3 linked regions of the Cricetulus griseus genome follow. The protein of the gene in region 1 interacts with the protein of each later gene in a pairwise test. Links are inferred from orthologs where the notes say so. Each region holds a gene or a part of one and is shown in the gene's direction. Other genes may lie near its edges.

Region 1 (6,366 bases):
CTGGCCGCTATTAAACAGCAGACACAACATGGAAGGAAAGTCTAGACTTCATAAGCCCCTATCTTCCTTCTGCAATCAGAGAGGTTCCTAGACAAGCCCTTTAACCCTAATAGCCTTGAGAAAGAGAAGGCTGGGAGGCCACCATTAGACCATTATTACCAAATAATATCTCAGTTGCAGGTACTGTCTCATAGCAAACTGCGAGAGGCTGGCTTGGCACATAGAGCTGTCAGGGTTGTGAAACCATGGTCACAGTGATTACATCATCTGGAGGTTAGTCTCTTAAGCACTGGGTAACATATTTTACACTCACAAATGAAAAGGTCACCACACCATGAGCCACCAGCCCACCAGTCCATATGACTAGACCATAACAAGTTTATCCTTCCTACAGCCTTCAGACTTCAGCTGAAGAACTTTCATTTTCATTTGAAATTCCGATTTCAGCTAAAAATGTCAATCTTCAGCTGTCTGTAGATTTTCATAATATACTCCCCAACCATGTCTTATGTTTAAAAGCTTAAGGTTTAAATGGATATTCACATAACCATTAATTTCTGAAGGGTCTCAAGTTCACTAAAAGGCTTTTCCAAATAAAAGTGGCTCCCAGACTGGGCATGGTGGCGCACACCTTTAATCCCAGCACTTGGAGGCAGGGGCAGGTAGATCTCTGTGAGTCCTGTGCTAGCCTAGTCTACTTAGTGAGTTCCAGAGAGAGAGAGAGAGAGAGAGAGAGAGAGAGAGAGAGAGAGAGAGAGAGAGAGAGAGGTCTTGCATCAATTTCCAGTAGGTCCTTGGCTAGGGATAGGGCCTTGGGTAGGCCCTCCATGGTCCATATTGGAAGTTTACCTGGCTCGAATGCATACAGGTGTCCACAGCTACAGTGGATTTATGTGTGCAGCAGCCGAGGACAGCTTTTCACAGCACTCCTCCCCATCCCCATGTCTGCTCTTTTGAGACAGAGTTGCTATGTATCCCTGACTGGCCTGCATTCATTACATAGCCCAAGATGATCTCCAACCCAAGGAAATCATTCTACTTTAGTTCTCAAATGCATGTATTACCATGATCAGCTTTAGGAATGTTTTCAAAATTCACTTCATATTATACAACTCTGTAAAGTTTGTAAATAGCCTGGTAAGTAGAGAAATGGCCAACCTGATTTAAGGAAACTATCCATCTTGCTGTTGCTACTTCAGAATGGTGACAATCAGTTGTCCCCAGCTCCATTTTCTCCATTGCCTCTTCCTACAGGTATCTCCAACGTTCTTTCCTCTAACACCTCTCCCTTCAAGGACACATGTAGACACAAGTGTGTATATATGTTTGAGACAAGGTCTCTCTATTATATAGTTCTGGCTGTCCTGGAACTCACTATGTAAACCAGGCTGGTCTCAAACTCAGAGATCTGCCTGCCTCTGCTTCCCGAGTGCTGGGGTTAAAGGCATGTGCCACCACCGCCCTGCATGCACAGAGGATTCTGAACAAGCCATGAGCTAAGCGCGAAGGTGCAGTGGCTGATTGCTCAGGTCTGCCACAGTACTGCGGGGAGTTTCTAAATGAATGCTGTACATTTAGCCACCAATGTTTTAAACCTATTAAAATTATTCATGGAAGTCTATAAAAAAATCAAATCCTGGTCATAGCCCTGGTTCCAGTATTTATTTTGAGAACATCTTTTGTAGAGCTAACATGTAGGCTTTGCTCTCAGGGAACCACAGGTCAATTTTCAGCCTTTGGGAACATGAGCAACACAAAATGATGATTCTTAGAGTCAGAGGCAAAAGGCCATGTGCAAAGGGGTGTCACCATTCCTGGATGTGTTCCTTGTGTGGCACTCTATGCTGTAGGCTCCTCACAGTCAGGCAGTGCCTCAGGATCTGCTGTTAATACAATCCTGCCAGGCTCATCATGGGAACTGTGAAGTGAGCCTGCCTGGCAAGCATCCCTGATACTCACCCCACCCTGAGTAGGTAGGTGACCTGCGTCATTGCTTAGGGGATTGCCCAGCACATGACTCCTAGGTCCCTCCCTAGACAAAGTCATCCAACTATACCCACCAGGAATTCCTCCTCCTCTTCTGTTTAACTTGACTTGCATATGATAATTTAATGGGATAAATATACATTTAAAAATTTCAAAATGTAAAGAGCACAAAGAAGCTGGACATGGCGGCACAAACATTAAACTTAGCACCTGGTTGTCAGAGGCAGCCAAGACTATACATAGGGAGACCCTGTGTCAAAACTAATCACCACCAACAACAAAGCAAAGTGACAAAGGAAAAGGAAGAAAAACTGTCCTATTCCAACACAACCTCAACACAGTTCCTTCATTCCCCTTACAAGAGACAAAATTAAAAAAATAAACAAACATGTTTACTCAATTTCTTAGGAAAATCATAAGCACAGGTGGCTGGATTGTTCAGTGGGTAATGTGGACCCCACCACCAATGTAAAAGCTATGAACAACAGCATATGTCTGTAACTCCAGCACCAGGGGTGTAGAGACAGATCCCAGGGACTTGCTGGACAACCAGGCTACCCAGAATGGTGAGCACTAGGTTCAGAGATCTGTCTCAAAACTAAAGTGGAAAGGAATAGAGAGAGGAAGAAGGCAGTGTCAATCTCTGGTCTCTACATGCACATGGAGGCCAGTATGCTACACACACACACACACACACACACACACACACACACACACACACACACACACACACACACACACACACACACACACACACTCCTACCTACCATCATTGAAACCCATACAAAAGTACAAACTGAAAAGCTCACCAGGGCTGGAGATGTCAGGCTAGCATTTGTAGCATTTGCTCAGGAGTGTAAAACTTGACTCCTAACATCTCAGAGAAGGAATGAACAAGAGAAAGGAGAAAGGGAAGAGACCTCAGTTCCCATCTAGAGCCACTCTGCATTTGAAATTGTCTTCCTCAGCTGCCTGCAGGCAAACAAGCTTTTCTGACAACAAAACCAGAGGGTAGGACCTTGATGTGATTTCTCACAGTCTCACTAGTGCCGTGGTTATAGTTCCTCCTGGCAACTTCCTTACATGATTTAATAATTTTGTCATCTTCCACAGATTGCTGACTCCTTTAACCAATGTCAAGCATCTGGGATTTCCCGATTGGCTTTACTAAAAGAAACACACAGTGGTGGACCCAGAGACTTCATTGCAATACATTTCTAAGAAATATACTAGGTTACAAAACATGGCCACTGTAAAAAACCCTGCTCTCCAGCCAACTGACTTTCCCTCCAGCAGAGTGAGTCCTCTACAGCCAGTGCTGACTTCCTCATAGGGCCAGTTAACCCTAGTTTGTACTCATTTGTACAACACCTACTCATATCAGCCTTGTGTCCTTAACCCCACCTCTGAATCTAGATTAAGGCAAAGGCCTCATGTGGGCCTGGTGACTGCTCTGTTTACGTAGCCACACAGCCTAACCTGGGCCTATCCCAGTCCATGTGAGTCAGTTGAACAAGGGGCGGGCACCACCCTTCCTGGAACAGGAATCCAGCTGGGACACAGGCCACCAGCACATCCCAAGAGACTCTGCAGTGACTGGAGCCAGATACAGAGCATCGAGCCAGCAGGTAAGAACAGACTGTATTGGCTGGGACAGGAGCTAAACAAGACCTGCTCACCATCATTTCTTTCCCTCCCTTGTCCTGTCTTCTAGTCTTTTAAAAAACTTGCTTCACTCTTGGAATGAAATGGGGACAAAGCTTTCCTTTTCTGACCCCAGGCCCAGGCAGGGTTTGAAGTATGAATGATTTTCTACACTAGTCTATGCATCTACCCTTACCTCATATCTATCCCACAACTATTAGCCAGGAGGCCCCAAAGGCTGTGGCTCTCTGATGCTCAGACTTCCCTAGTCTCTCACTCAAGAAAGGCCCAAATCCTCACCGAGACCTTCAAGCTCTCCAAATCTGGACGTCTGCCCACTTCTCTGGTTTTCTCCCTCAGGTGTCCCTAGCCACAGAGGGCACTCACCTCAGGGTTTGTGCAGTGGCACTGCCTTTCTGCCACTTTAAGCTTTTACTCAACTGTCTCTCATCCCTACAGAAAGCCTCCCCGAGTCCTACTGCCACTCTCTGCTCTCCTCCTCCTCCCCAGATCTTCTCACCATCTGACACAGCCTACAAGGTTTTTGGAGCTTTTTAATCCAATACGAAGTCCCTACCTCATGGAGTGATAATTTTGCTCACTTTGTACAGCTGGCATCCCAAACAGTACCTGGACTCAGGGAAATCTAATAAATGCATGTGGGATGAGCAGACAGCTATTACGGAGTTGCCTATTTGTGCTAGGTACTGTGCTAAATATTCTTTATGTGGATCTCTTTTAATCTTCTCATGCCTCGAATAGTCTGTGGTGAAAGTGTTATTACTGTTATTACAACAGAAATGACATAGAGCCTTGCCCATTGTTTGTTCTTACAGTCAGAGGTAGGCAGTAGGTTGAGCCTCTCTCTAACGTCCCAGCCTCTGCTCTGCCTCCCCTGGTCCTTCACTGAGGGAACAGCGTTTCCTAGTTCCCTCTAGCAGTGCAGCCCTGAAAGGAGAGGGCACATGTTGTGGCTTAGCAACAGCCCCCTCCTTGCCGATTCACCAGATCCCTGGGTTAATTTGGCCTTACAGGAGCTATTACTCCACCACATTAACCCACACTTCTGCTTTTTCTGAAGGATGGATGAGTTGTCCACAGGAACAAGTGGGAGTCCCAGAGTTCCAGCAGTTTAGAACAAAGTGTTCTCATTCTTTTAAGTTCAAAGATGGGGGCTGATGGGCCCCTTTCCAGCCCCGCTGATTCCACAGAGCCTGACTGCTGATACGCTGTGGGTGTTATTATTGCTTACAATTTGAAGAGGTGTAGAAAGCTCTGGGATGGATATCTGTAAGGTGTTGTGGGGGAAGGGAAGTCCCTCCAGGAGCAAGGACTGGATGGGCTGGTTCCCTTCTAAGAAGCCAACAACTTGTAGAAACTGAACAAACTTTCATTATCATACTATTTTATGTGTAACTCATAGGGCTGTAGTTTCCCTTTCTACACCCAGTTATTCTTCAAAGGACTTTCTACAGGTGGTAATTGGAAGCATGTTTATCTAGGTGTCAGGTGACATTTCTGGGAGATGTGAACAAATGTCTATTCACCTCAGACAGAACAAATGACAGGCCAACTCAAAGATCCCATGCCTACTGTAGTGAACCAAGGAGTTTAGTGGGCTTAAAGGAATCTAGGTGACTCAAAGGCAGCTCCATCGCAGGAGAGCCCACCCCAGCACAGGTGATGACAGCAGATAGCTCCCCAGAAGAGTCTTCTCTCCCAGGCAACTGTTCACTGCTTATATAACCTTGGGGAGGGCTTTGTGAATCATAGCTTTCTGAGCTCCTCAGAGTGTTGTATGCTTCCTTAGGTTCCTGAGGCCTATAGGCCTCCTACTCCCTTCCAGGAGGGAATGTTGTTTCAACTGGGAGGAAATAGATACCCACTAGGTCACGGAATTCTCTTCCCTATGTCTGCTTTTCTCCTCTTGTAACTTTATGAAGGCTTGGTTCTGGAAATTCACACCAGCTAATGAGGATGACAGGCAAACAAATACAGCTTGGTGAAATTTCAATTTAGGAAATGCAAAAGGCCTGGGTCAGAGCTTCCTAAACATTTGTGGAATGAACAATGACTAGGGAATACATGAGATGTTGTGGTCTAGGGAGAAGAGGTTTGACGATCCTTGGGGGTTGTGTGGTGTAGGATTCAGAGGGAGGCTTAGAGCTGAACAATTCGCCATATGAACTGTGGGTGGCATTTAAGACAGAGAAAACAGCACTCCCAAAGCACAAAGGCATGGGCTAGCAGGCTGAGTTTTACAACCAGCAAACAGTTTGAAATGAGTGAAATGCAGTGAGCAATAGAGACATGCCCTCCAGGATTCAGTCATGAAATTAAATTTTAAAGTCATATTGAAGTCTGAGATTAATTCTGATGTCAAGAGCTAGGTGTGGCTTCGCCAAAAGGTAAAGGCAGGGGCTGAGGGCAACTCCTAGATTTCTGGCTCAGCCCATGAGTGTATTTGGTGGGGATACAGTCAAGATTTGGGAAAACTTCAAGAAAACATCTTGAAGGTAATAAATATCTAAACAGCAGGTGGAACTCTGGCCTGGGTCTCCCTATCCGGGAATAGCACACTTTTACTTTCATTGGCTTAAACTTTCCACCCTTCACGGTCATTGGCGGGTCTTCTCCCTCGAGGAGGCTTTCCTGCTTTTCCAGATATTTTCCTGCCCTCCTTACAAAGGGAGCTCGGTCTGATTTTCTGTGGAAGGTGATCCCTCAGCCAAGTCC
Region 2 (6,282 bases), on another chromosome or scaffold:
TTAGATCCCGCCCCTGTTCCGCGCACGCGCAGTAAGGACTTAAGCATCGGGTGGTTTCCGGCTGTAACAGAAAAGACTAATCTACTCCGGAAAGACCTTTCTCTGGGCCCTGTGCTTGCAGAAATTTGAGTCTGTTTACATCGCGTCCTCACACGGGTTTCCAGGTATCCGCAGCGATTGTCGCTGAGTCCCAGTCCCAAAGGAGTGCTGAAACAGCGGAGGCCTGTCGCAGACGCAAAGGGGTGCTCTGTGTAGTACAGCTCCCAGCGAAGCCCAGACCAAGGCACGACAGAAAGGCGTGAAACACCTTCGGAGGAATAGCAGAGATGATGTGGCCAGAGCGATAGAGCAGGCTTCTTTGTGTCTGAGTGAAGGATGGGCCTACAAGAGGTCGGGCTTTGATCCTAAAAGCCGGCTTCTTTAGCAAAGCAGCCCAGTAGCCAGTCTGCTTAACCAACCAGTCTAACGGACAGAGAGTGCGAACCAAGGGTAGGGCTGTGAGAAGGAAGTTGAGGAATATTGAGAGGCGGGTCAACACAACTTTTGTCTTGTGACCAACTGAATTTGACTGGTTTTCCTGTGGTTCCCTAGTTGCAGAATGGAGCGGTGCCTGACTGGGAAAAAGGAAGCCCTGGGCAAGACTAAGGAGCGGGTTGTAAAGAAGACAGTGCATTGGGTGAACCTGAGAGAAGAACCCGCTCCTGGAGATGTCAAAAACAATTCTTCAAAATAAATACCAGTCACACATAAATTCGGAAGAGGAGGAACACTTGGTTTTACTAAGAAAATATACTTCAAATACAAAACCCAAAGACATTAAGGAATAAAGCAAAAGAACATTTAGGGGGCTGGAGAAACAATTCAGTAGTTAAAAGGCACTGGGTGCTCTTGTAGACGACCCAGGTTCAATCTTCAGCACCCACATGGCATCTCATAACCGTCCATATCTCTAATTTTAGGGACTCAACATCGTTTGACCTTCTTGAGCAGAGGCATGTACATTGTGCCATCTTACACGCAGAGACTTACAAAATACCCATACACATAAAATATTTTAATTTAAAGCTTTTAGACTAATAGCTCATGAATTTAGATGCATTCTTACTAAAATGTAAACGTGTCTAAATCAACAATATATAAAAAGGAATACAACATAGTTAAGTGTGGCTGAGTCTAGAGTGCAAGGTTGATTTGACTTTCAAGAATAAGAGACTGGAGTGATGGTTCAGCAGTTAAGAGCGGTTGCTGCTCTCCCAGCACCCACATGGTTGCTCAAAACCATCTGTAACTCCAGTTACAGGGGATCTGACTGCCTCTCCTGGCCTCTGTGGGCACCAAGCACTCAGGTTCTCAGATATGCCATACAGACAAAACCTACATACACATAAAACTTTTTAAAATATTCTATTAAAAGCATAAATGTAACACCATATAAACTTAGGAAAAATTAGAGATCATTTTAGTAGATACAAGTGTAAACTCATAATATTAAATTTAAAAGCGGGAAAATGCTGTGGGGATATAGCTTATTTGGCAGAGTGCTAGCCTAGCATGCAAGAAGCCCTGGGTACAGTCCCTAGCACAGCATAAAGCCCAACAGAGTGGTTTTAAGGATCCAGGCATTATGCTGGCCAGCCTCTGTCACCTGGCAGAATGCACTCAGGCAATGCCCTGGTCAGCCCAGGGGCAAAGGACCCTTTTGAAAGACCTCCACCCACTTATGCTCTCTTTCCTACTGTTCCCCTGGGACAGACAGACAACTTTTCCTGTCTCCCTCTTCTGTCCTCTCTGTCTCTGTCTCTTTTTTATCTCCCCACCCCCTCGCCTTTCTGTCTGCCTGTCATGTTTGTCCCTCTGCCTAGGTCACCCTCGCCTGACATGGAATCCGCCAAGGTCCCCCTCAAGCTTTATCATAACATTGGTGCTGTGACTTGGCAGACAGGACATTTAAAGAGACAGAGTAGATTTAAAGTGGTGACATACTTTTAATCCCAGCAATTGGAAATGGAGGCAGAAAGATCAGAAGTTCGAGGTCATCCCCAGCTTCATAGTGAGTTCAAGGCCAACTTGGAATATGTGAGATCTTATCTCAAAAATAACTCGGCTAAGAAGGAATAGAAAATTTTTTTTGTGAGTGGTGGTACTGGGGAACAAACCTAGGGCCTTGTATGTGGTACTGAGTGTAATCCTAACACACACTCTTAACCTTAAAATCTACAAAAACCTTACCAACAACATACTTGAAGGTGGAAATGAGAGCTTTCCCCTTAAAGCAAAAGGCTATCTGGGTAGCATAGACCTGCAGTCCTAGCACTTGGAAGGCTGAGACAGGAAGGCTCAAACTTCAAGACCAGTCTGGAGAATGAATGAATGAATATATATATATATATATATATATATATATATATATATATATTCCATCTGTGTCTTGGACAGAAAGAGAGGGAGAAGGGGAGGAAAGAGACAGGCCAGATGTGGTAGTGCACACCTTTAATCCCAGCACTCAGGAAGCAGAGGGAGGTGGGTCTCTGAGTTTGAGGCCAACCTGATCTACATAGCATGTTCGAGGCTAGCCAGGGGTACATAGTGAGACCCTCTTTCAAGAAGAGTGGATGTTTTACCAAAGGCCCTAACCAAATGAATACAGCTCAAAAAGAAAGGGCACATAGATCTCAAAGAATGAACTTTGTCTTTATTCCCAATGTCATGATTTAGAGTACAAAAAAGCCACTGGAACTCAGAAGAGAGGACCAACATATAACAGTCTATTGTTTGTTCATGGGTTTTCATTTCCAGGTTATCATACATGGGTTTCACTATGGTACTTCATACAAATGTGCAATCCTTGGTTCTCATCTCTTCTGCATGTCCCCTTCACATCACCTAGGGAACTGTAACCTCTAGTTCCCTTTCTTCCCTACAAAAGCCAGTCTTGTGACATGCTTGTTTAACCTGCCCAAAACCTGGATTTGCCTAAATTTGTTCTCCACCACTGATGAGGGAAATAAAGGTTATTTGTATGTACTAAAAAAAAAAGTAGATTAAACTTTAAAATATATACCATTTTCCATGGCATCCAAGAACATGAAATACATATAATTTTAGATCTGTGCTAAAAGCTATAGAATAATGCCAAAGAAAATTAGACTGTAATGTGTTCATAAGTGGCTGACTCCAAAGACAGTGATGTCCATTGTCTTCATCATAGTGTGTTTTTTTGGTAGTTTGTTGTTGTAGAGACATAACACAGGGTTTCACACATGCTAGGCAAGCACTTTATCATGGAATTATATCTCCAGCTCCTGCCATTGATCTCTGCATTCAATAAAATCTGAAATTTTCTCAATAAGTACTTAACATTTTTATTGGTGTATAGTCATTGTGTATAGTGATGCATAAGGACTAGTTTTGTTTTGGTTTTGAGTCAGGGTCTTGTTAATGTAGCTCTGGCTGTCCTGGACTTTCACTCTCTAAACTAGACTGGCCTCAAACTCACAGAGATCTGCCTGCCTCTGCCTTCTAAGTGTTGTGATTAAAGGTGTGCTCCACTTCACCCAACTACATAAAGATATTTTCATGAATATACTTTGTTCAATAGAAACTTCAAAAGTCCTTTGTGTAGAAACTAGTATGCTGATTATGTATCTTGTGAAAATGCAAAGAATCTGAAATAGTTAAAAGTCTTTTTTTAGATATATTTTATGTATATGAACGTTTTTTGCCCATACATCCATACTTGTCTTGGAGGTCAGAAGATGGCATCAGATCCCTGGACTGGAGGTACAGACAGTTATGAACTACACTTTGGGTCTTTTGCAGTACCAACAAGTGCTCTTAACCACTGACTGAGCCATCTCTCCAGCCCCTAAAATATTTTCTTTTGGTGCTCAGGATGGAGCCCAGGGCCTTTCACGTAATAACCAAGTGCTCAACCACTCAATTATAGCCTCAGCCCTAAAAAAAAAAAAAATTAATAAAAAGACTGACTGGGGCACTCATGTTACCTGATCTCAAGATCTACTTTCCAGCCTATATGGCTCTAGTGCTAGGGTAGACATGCAGACCAATGAAACAGAAGACAGTTCAGAAAGAGACTGACATATGTGAATGATTACTTGACAACAAAGATGCCAAGATCAGTATGAGGAAGGAGTATTTTTCAGAATTGGTGTTAGAGGAACTGGTTATGTGTTTGGGGTTGGGGGAGGGGGCAGAAGGTGAGGGATCAACATTGAACCCTTCCTACTACATACATAAAAATGAGCTCAAACTGATGTGATAGCACATGCCTGGAGTCTGGGATACTCAGGAGGCCAAGACAGATGGTCACAAGTTCAAGGCCATCCTTTGCAGTATGAGATGGAGTTCATGACCCCTGGGGAAATCAATCCAGACTATAATTAGTTAAATTTATTAAAGATGCTAGCAGGACAATACTCTCAATACTAATTGAGATTGCTTCGGGAAAGGGGAGTGAGGGAAAGGTTTTTAAAGGAGAAGACCTTGAGTATCTGCTCAATCAAGGCAAGAGCTGTTCTGTTCTCAGGGTCATATAGTCAAGGTGACCTCAGAATGGTCCTTGAAGGCCTACAAAAGCAGGTTACAGAAGCAAAAAAAAGTCATATTGTTTTGTGTTTTTTTTTTTCAAGACAGGGTTTCTCTGTGTAGCCCTGGCTGTCCTGGAACTGGCTCTGTAGACAAGGCTGGCCTCGAACTCACAAGAGATCCACCCTCCTCTGCCTCCCAAGTTCTAAGATTACAAGCATGTGCCAGGAGGCCCAGCCAAGGTTGTATATTTTTACATGGGGGTGACTAAATCAGGGTTACTGAGACTGGAGTCAGAGACAGCTAGTGGGTACCAGAATGGATGCCTAGCATAAAAGGGAGTTTCTTTAGCAATCGCAATACCATCTCAGAAAAGTTAAATCAAAATACATCATACACCTAAGAGTCAAAGCTAAAATTAGAATCAGGTGTGGTGGTGACCACCTCTAATCCTAACACTTGGGAGGGAAAGGCAAAAGAATCTTAAGTTTAAGAACAGCCTCACTACACATAACAAGACCTTGTCTCAAAAAGGAAGGGAGGGAGGGAAAGAGAGAGAGAAAGAATATATAATTTGACCTGAAAAAAAACTTTGGAATATGTACATTTGACACAAAACAAATATCCATTATATATAAAGAACCTCCACTGAGCAGTGGTGGCACATGCCTTTAATCCTAGCACTTAAGAGGCAGAGGCAGGTGGATCTCAAGGCCAGCCTGGTCTACAAAGTGAGTTCCAGGACCAGGACTGTCTCAAAAAAAAAAAAAGGAAGGAAGAAAATGCCACTTTGATCATAACCAATAATCAGTTCAATATTCAACATCCCTTATCGTTAAGGAAGTTCAAATTAAAAACTACAATGAAATGCTACCAACAGGCTCAGTGGGAGAGCATTTCCTTAGAGGGAAAGAAAAACAAAATAAAATACATCCTCTAGAATGGCTTAACGTAAGAACCCCAGCAATGCCACACATGTAGAATCCAATGACAGTCTCTAAGAAGCAAAGACACCTTCTCTTTTGGGAACCTCAGTAAGTCCCAGCTGGGTGTGAACAGTGGCTCGCATGGGGCTTCCTTCTGGGCCAGCAGCAGCAGCTTCACCTGGAAACCGGTAGGTAGTGCAAATTCTCTTGGTCCCACCTAGACCTGCTCAATGGGAAACAGAGGAGGCAATGAACAACAATGAAGTACCAGGTGATTCCAGCGCAGGAGGGCAGGAAGGAGGAAGAAGGGCTACTTCTTTAAGGCTAATTGGGACCCTCCCATTCCGCCTCCCCTTCTCTTTCCCAGGCTTCTTAACACCCTGGTGTGGGAAGCTGGCCCTTAGCTGAAGCTCGAATGGCCTGCAGTTGGAGGTAAGGCCCATGACTGGCAGCACAGTAAGCTTGAGCAGGGGATGGGTGGGACTTGGATCCCACTGGACTCACACCTGGTGCCTCCTCCCTCTCCACCCTGGGGTTCCCAGAGGGCCCCAGGGGCTGTCAGATGATCTCTCAGCAAGCTTCCCAACTTGGGCTACACAAAAATCACCATCTTCTCCATTGCTGTTTTGAGTGTTTGTGTCTCCGGTCTGGGGATGCTCTGGTCAGTTGCCTGAGATGGGGGTGGGGTGCGAGGGGTATGACTTGACCTCTAGGAGTTTTCAATGGCTATTGGATTCCCCAGGCTGCAAGGAAACCTTCCTTACAGGAGGCTGTGAGCTTAGCTTCTGTATTACTAACGAGACAGTGAGAA
Region 3 (6,128 bases), on another chromosome or scaffold:
TGGAACCTCCTGCCTCACTACGGGAGGATTGAGAGTTCAAGGCAAGCATGGCCTACCAAACCAGACCAGACTCTATATTAAAAATTAAATTAAACTAAAAAAAAAACTTTTAAAAAAATCCCAGTATTCAGGAGATAGAGACAGGCAGATAGCTGCTTGAGAATACTCTGATCTACAAGGATTCCAGGCTAGCTAGTGCTAATTCTCAAAAAAAAATTATTTTCAGTTAAAATAAAAAACTGGGCTAAACACGTAGCTCAAGTGGTTCAATGCAAGCCCAGTGTGCAAGAAGCTCTGGGTCCAATTCCCAGTACCACACCAACTGAAAACTGTGGTTCACAGATATAATCCTAGCACTTGAGAAGTAGAAGCAGGAGGATCAGAATTTCAAGGTTATTCTTTGCTATGTAACAAATTGGAAATCAGCCTGGACTTTGGATATCCTTGTCTCAAGAAACAAAAGAGCCAGAGGTGGAGGCACATACCTTTAATCTCAGGTACCTGGGAGGCAAAGGCAGGAAGATCTCTTATTATAAGTTTGAGGCCAGCCTGATCTACAGCCAGAGCTGTTGTCAAAAGGGGGGAGGGGCAAATTAATTTATTGTAATGAAGTTATGGTGATAACTTAAGAATCAAAGGACAAATGGGGGAATGAAGGGACCAGCTCCCCATTTTGGCAGCCATGATAGTAACACATGCTTGCCATGACTTTGTCCTAATCACTAGAAGTCAGATGCCTGCCTCGTGGCAAGGAACCAATCAGAAGTTAGCTGGCAGCGCTCTGGGTGTGCTTTACGGACAAGTGCACAGCAATGACACGCAGAGCATAGCAACTACCCTGGGAGGGCCTATGGGCCATAACAACCAATTGGCCAATCAACACAGGACAAGCCCTCCAAGCCTGGAGGCACACCAATCCTGAGCCTGTGCGTACCCCTAGATACTCCCCTTACGCTGCCCTACAAGATCTCTCGGCAGCTGGTTCGAGCTGTCTTTGCTAGCCATCCGCCATGGCAGGTGGGTGAAAGACCCGAGCTAACATGGGGTTAGCTCGTTAAACAACAATAAAGCCTCATGCAATTTGCAGGAAAATAAAAAAAAAAAAAGAATCAAAAGACAAGATAGCCAAGTGTAGGAAGGTCTATTCCTTTTTGTTTCTTCAGCATATCAGCTTCCTTCTCTATTTCTGCAGACAAGCTCCCTTGCATTATTTATTATTCTCTATCTTTGTGTTGTTAATCCCACCATTCGAGAATAAGACCACTATTAGAGTTGTAAAAAAAAAAAGGCCAAAATAGCCATTTAAAAACCATGTTCTTTCCCTGGCCCTTTAATTCTATAGCCTGAGCTGACATTGAACTCCTAGAGATCTGCTATCCTCTGCCCAAGTGCTAGGATTAAAGGCTTGTGCCACCAGGGCATAATTTTGTTTGTTTTTGTAAGGAAAAAGGCCCAGCCAAACAAACACATCCTGAGCAGAGCCAAAGAAATACACTTTGGCCCTGCAACCAGAACCAAAGAAATGTACCCTGACCCTGAAACCAGTGCCAAAGAAACACACTTTGTCCCTGGAATCAGAACCAGTGAAAGAAATATACTCTGGCCCTAAAATTGGAGCCCAAAGGCTAAAAAGGACCAGTGAAAGAAACACACTTTGGCCCTGAAACCAGAGGCAAATCTGACCCTAAACCTTCGAGAAAACTAACCAATCCCTGAGCAGGAGATCTACCCATTATAAACCCAGGCATTGAAATCTGACCAATCTCCACCCTGGAAAAACTCTGCCCCTAAGAAGCCCTATATAAACCCTGTGCCTAGCCCGGCGTTGGTGGCACACGCCTTTAATCCCAGCACTGGGGGATATTTTGAGATAGGATTTCTTTGTGTAATAGCCCTGGCTGTCCTGAAACTCACTCTGTACACCAGGCTGGCCTTGAACGCGAGATCTGCCTGCTTCTGCCTCTGGAGTACTGGGATTAAAGGTGTGAGCCACTACTGCCCTGCTTTAATTTTTTTTTTTTCTGAGATAGGTTCGTATATAAGCTAGCCTCAACATTTTACAACTCACTGAGACCAGCCTGACTTTGCCTTCTGAGTGCTGAAATTAAAAGAGTGGTCAGCCAAGCCGGAATTTTGTTTTGAATCAGGGTCTTAACTGTTTTCAAGATTGGCCTTGAACACATAGCAACCCTCTTCCCTCGGTCTCGAGAACGCTGGGATTACAGGTTTTCTGAACGCTAATTTCACCCTTCAAGGTCCTAATCATATTCATACTAAACACAAGGCCCACATTTGACATAACACACCAGCGGGGGGCCACCAATCACCTCTGTTGGGATAAACCGGTCTGGCTCCGCCCACGGCCGTGGAGGTTTGAAGGCCCCGCCCCATCCTTCGGAGTTTCCCAAAAGCCTGTGCGGCAGGCTCGGCAGCTCCAAGATGGCGACTCCCATGCATCGGCTGATAGCTCGGAGACAAGCGTAAGTGAGACGACGCCCAGTGGGGTCTGCGAGAGGGCTGTGGGTGTGGAGACGCCAGTCCGCTAGTTAGTGAGCTGGCGCGGGCTGCGGGACTGAGCGGGCTCGGAGAGTCCGAAATGAATCCAAGGGTTGTTGGTTGTGTGGTTTATGATCCTCTGTCCGTCTCACACGTTTGTCAAGGTAGCCTGGATGCCTGATTCCCACACCTTCACTCCCGAGGACCCAAACTTCTCCCACTTATTCCTTTGCAGCATTTCCGGTCTCCTTCCTACCGCCTTTCCTAGAAACAAGCCTGTCTACAATGCCTTTACTCTTTTCCCATCTACCGACTCACTTTCTGCGACTCTCTCCTTCAGTAAATAGTTCTTTTAGTACCTACCACTCCATGCCTTTTTTTTTTTCAGTGAAGAAAAATGTTCGGGACACGCAGCTTATAGTCTAAATGTGGAACCAGTTAATCCTCTGAACAAGTACAGTTGGTAGTTTTAAAAATCTTTGTAGGAAATAAGAGGCTGTGATGGGAATACGGGAAAGGCTTCTTCAAATTAGTTGGACTGGAAATACATTAGTGGAGGGGTGACATTTCAAGACAGGCTGAAAGGCGTAGGAAAGACCGAGTCACCAGAGGGCTTGGGAAAAGAAACGCTAGACAATGGTATAATTGCTTTGAGGCGGTGAGAACTTTTTTTTTCTGTCAAAGCTAGCTAGCTGTTTAAGAATTAATAAATTTACACCTTTATTTAATCTCTCTCAATCTGGTAAGAATTTTGTTTAGGAAACTTGATGGCCTATAACAGGCGAACGCTTCCTTTAATTTCTTTTGCTCCCATTCTTTATTTTTGATTGGTGTTTCGAGACAGGGTCTTTTCACATAGCCCTGTCTGTTCTGAAATTTGCTTTGTGGCCAGGCTGTACTCTAACTCCGAGATCCACCTGCCTCTGCCTCCCACGCGCTGGGATTAAAGGTTTGAGCCACCATCCCTGGCCATAGCCCAGGACTTTAATCCCAGCACTTAGCCCAAGGTTAGCCTGATCTACATATCTAGTTCCAGGACATTCAGAGCTGCATACTGAGACCATGGCTCAATAAACAAATAAAATTTAAAAAACCTTAATTTTAACAGTGCTAAATTAAGTTACTAGGATCTCATTTCACCCCTTTTCTCTCTTAAACTGGTTCTTTTGGATCCAGACTTAGGCTACTTAAGTGACAAGATGGCTTGTTTTGTTTTGTCTTGTTTTTCGACACAGGGTTTCTTTGTAACAACCCTAGCTATCCTGGAATTCACTTTTGTAGAGCAGGCTGGCTTGGAACTCAGAAATCTACCTGTTTCTGTCTCCTGAGTACTGAGATTAAAGGCATGTGCCACCAAACTTGGCAAGACCTCATCTTAAAACAAAACCTCCCAGCAATGTTATGTTCACCCTCTGTATGGCCATGTGATAGTGGCATGTTGGATTTAAAGTTATGTGAAACTGAAAGGAAAATACTGTTTATGGATCTATTACCTGCTTGCTTTTAACTTTCTTGCTTTTGATGTAAGCTGTGATTTATTAGTCATAAACCTGAGTATTGGGCCAGATGTGTTAGATCATGCCTTTATTCCTAGCACTCAGAAGGCAGAAACAAGTGGATCTCTGAGTTTAAGGCTAGCCTGGTCTACAGAGTTTCAAGACAACTGGGGCTATTAACATATAGAAACCCTATTGTGTGACCGGGCGTTGGTGGAGCACCCCTTTAATCACAGCACTTGGGAGGCAGACGCAGGCGGATCTCTGTGAGTTCGAGGCCAGCCTGGTCTCCAGAGTGAGTGCCAGGATAGGCTGCAAAGCTACACAGAGAAACCCTGTCTCGAAAAACAAAAAAAAGAAAAAAAGAAAAGAAACCCTGTTCTGTGTGTTGGGGGTGGGGGGCGGTTTAAGTGTGTGTGTATAGGAATTGAGGCCAGAGGAACTTGTTGGGGTCAGTTCTCTGCTCCTTCCACCATACAGATCCAGGGATCCAACTCAGATCTTCAGGCATATAGGAAGCACCCTTACCCACCCAGCCATCTCCCATCCTTAAAAGTGTTTTAATGGGTTAGTGGTCTACCTTGGTGGTAGTATTTGCTCCGTGTGCATGTAGGAGGCCCTGAGTTTAATATCTATCTAGCACTACAAAGAATAAAGTAAAATAAAAGTCTGTAATTATCCTTTGCATTCTGAACTAAAAATGTTGCTCTGAGTGCATCATTACTGGAAAGCAAAAACAATATTTGTTTTTATGTGTTTGTTTTGCTTTGAGACAGGATCTCTCGATCTGTAGCTCAGGCTACAGCCATTCTCCTGCTTTAGCCTGAAAAGTGAAGGATTACAAGCATGAAACACCACACTGGGCTTAAAGAAGCCAAGATTTGTTCTGTTAATCCCAGGTTGCATGCATTGATCCACATAACTATTTCTGTGTCTGTTAGAGTAAACATCACTATATGCCTTTATAGGTCAGAAAGTATTACAAGACAAAGCTACTTTTTTGTTATTGTTTTTTGTTTGTTTGTTTTTTAAGACAGGATTTTGCTGTGGCTTTGGAGGCTGTCCTGGAACTAGCTCTTTAGACCAGGCTGATCTTGAACTCACAGAGATCCACTTGCCTCTGCCTCCCGAGTACTGGGATTAAAGGCATGTGCCACCAACGCCCAGAGAAGACAAAACTTCTAAGACTTATATTCTGTTTATTCTTTGTAGTGAAGCCAATAAGCAACATGTAAGATGTCAGAAATGCTTGGAATTTGGACATTGGACTTATGAGTGCAAAGGAAAAAGAAAGTACCTCCACAGGCCTTCAAGAACAGCAGAGCTGAAGAAAGCTTTAAAAGAAAAAGAAAATAGATTGTTGCAGCAAAGGTAAGTTTACATGTGGTATCCAGAGGAAGTTACCCAAATATTTACATTATTGATTAAGGGCTGAAAGTTTTGTTTTACTAGTAGCTGAATTTCTTGTTTATTTTGGGTTTTGGACATTGTCTCACTATGTATCTCAGGCTGGTCTCAAATTTGCAGTCCTCCTGTCTGAATTCTGAGTGCTGGGATTACAGTGTGTGCCACCAATCCAGTTTATACTAGTATTAGTTGATTTTAATCAATGGTTACTGTGTCAGACACTATACTGTGCTTTTCACAAGTGTTAGCATATCTAAACCTCCAATCCCTACTAGTGAGGTAGCCATTTTAACCGATTTGTGTGCTCACACGAGCTTGTGCATCTGCACGTTTCACAAAAGCTCACCAGACTGCTCTTTATGATGTTAGGGAATACAGCCTTGAGGTTCTGTGGGGCTTTTTGTTTTTGTTTAAACAGTAACTAAAATTTGGGTTAAACTTTATTTTGTAAAAGAACTAATTCTAGGAACTCAGATTATATCTATTGTGCTTTTGTTTGCCTGGCTTGTTCAGTAAGTAGTTCAAGCTCTAAACAAAGAAACAGATTTGTGTGTTCAGTCATCTTAACTACTAACTGGTTTTGATAAATGTGTTGCTAAGCACTAAGTCAGCCATATGTACTGCCTGTATCCTGTCCCAGGAAACTTTAGTTGATTATAGAAAGAAATCATGTGCCCTTGAGCATATGTAATAAGAACAGAATGTTCTGAGGCTAGCAGAGGCTTCTAA

The links. The genes of interacting proteins can lie anywhere in the genome.
Region 2: the proteins of Sdcbp2 (region 1) and Npm2 interact in binary tests that used the Homo sapiens proteins (3 or more experiments, as listed by UniProt). The two-hybrid records come from large-scale screens. The link is inferred for Cricetulus griseus from reciprocal best matches to the Homo sapiens genes SDCBP2 and NPM2.
Region 3: the proteins of Sdcbp2 (region 1) and Zcchc10 interact in binary tests that used the Homo sapiens proteins (3 or more experiments, as listed by UniProt). The two-hybrid records come from large-scale screens. The link is inferred for Cricetulus griseus from reciprocal best matches to the Homo sapiens genes SDCBP2 and ZCCHC10.

What each region holds. Positions count from the first base shown.
Region 1 is NC_048599.1:28,471,160-28,477,525, reverse strand, and holds the start of Sdcbp2 (syntenin-2), read left to right. Parts: upstream 1-2,698; 5' UTR 2,699-3,614; intron 3,615-6,366.
Region 2 is NW_023276807.1:225,301,513-225,307,794, reverse strand, and holds the start of Npm2 (nucleoplasmin-2), read left to right. Parts: upstream 1-2,477; 5' UTR 2,478-6,282. UniProt on the Homo sapiens protein: Core histones chaperone involved in chromatin reprogramming, specially during fertilization and early embryonic development. Probably involved in sperm DNA decondensation during fertilization.
Region 3 is NC_048600.1:67,475,702-67,481,829, forward strand, and holds the start of Zcchc10 (zinc finger CCHC domain-containing protein 10), read left to right. Parts: upstream 1-2,323; 5' UTR 2,324-2,439; coding exon 2,440-2,480; intron 2,481-5,204; coding exon 5,205-5,363; intron 5,364-6,128.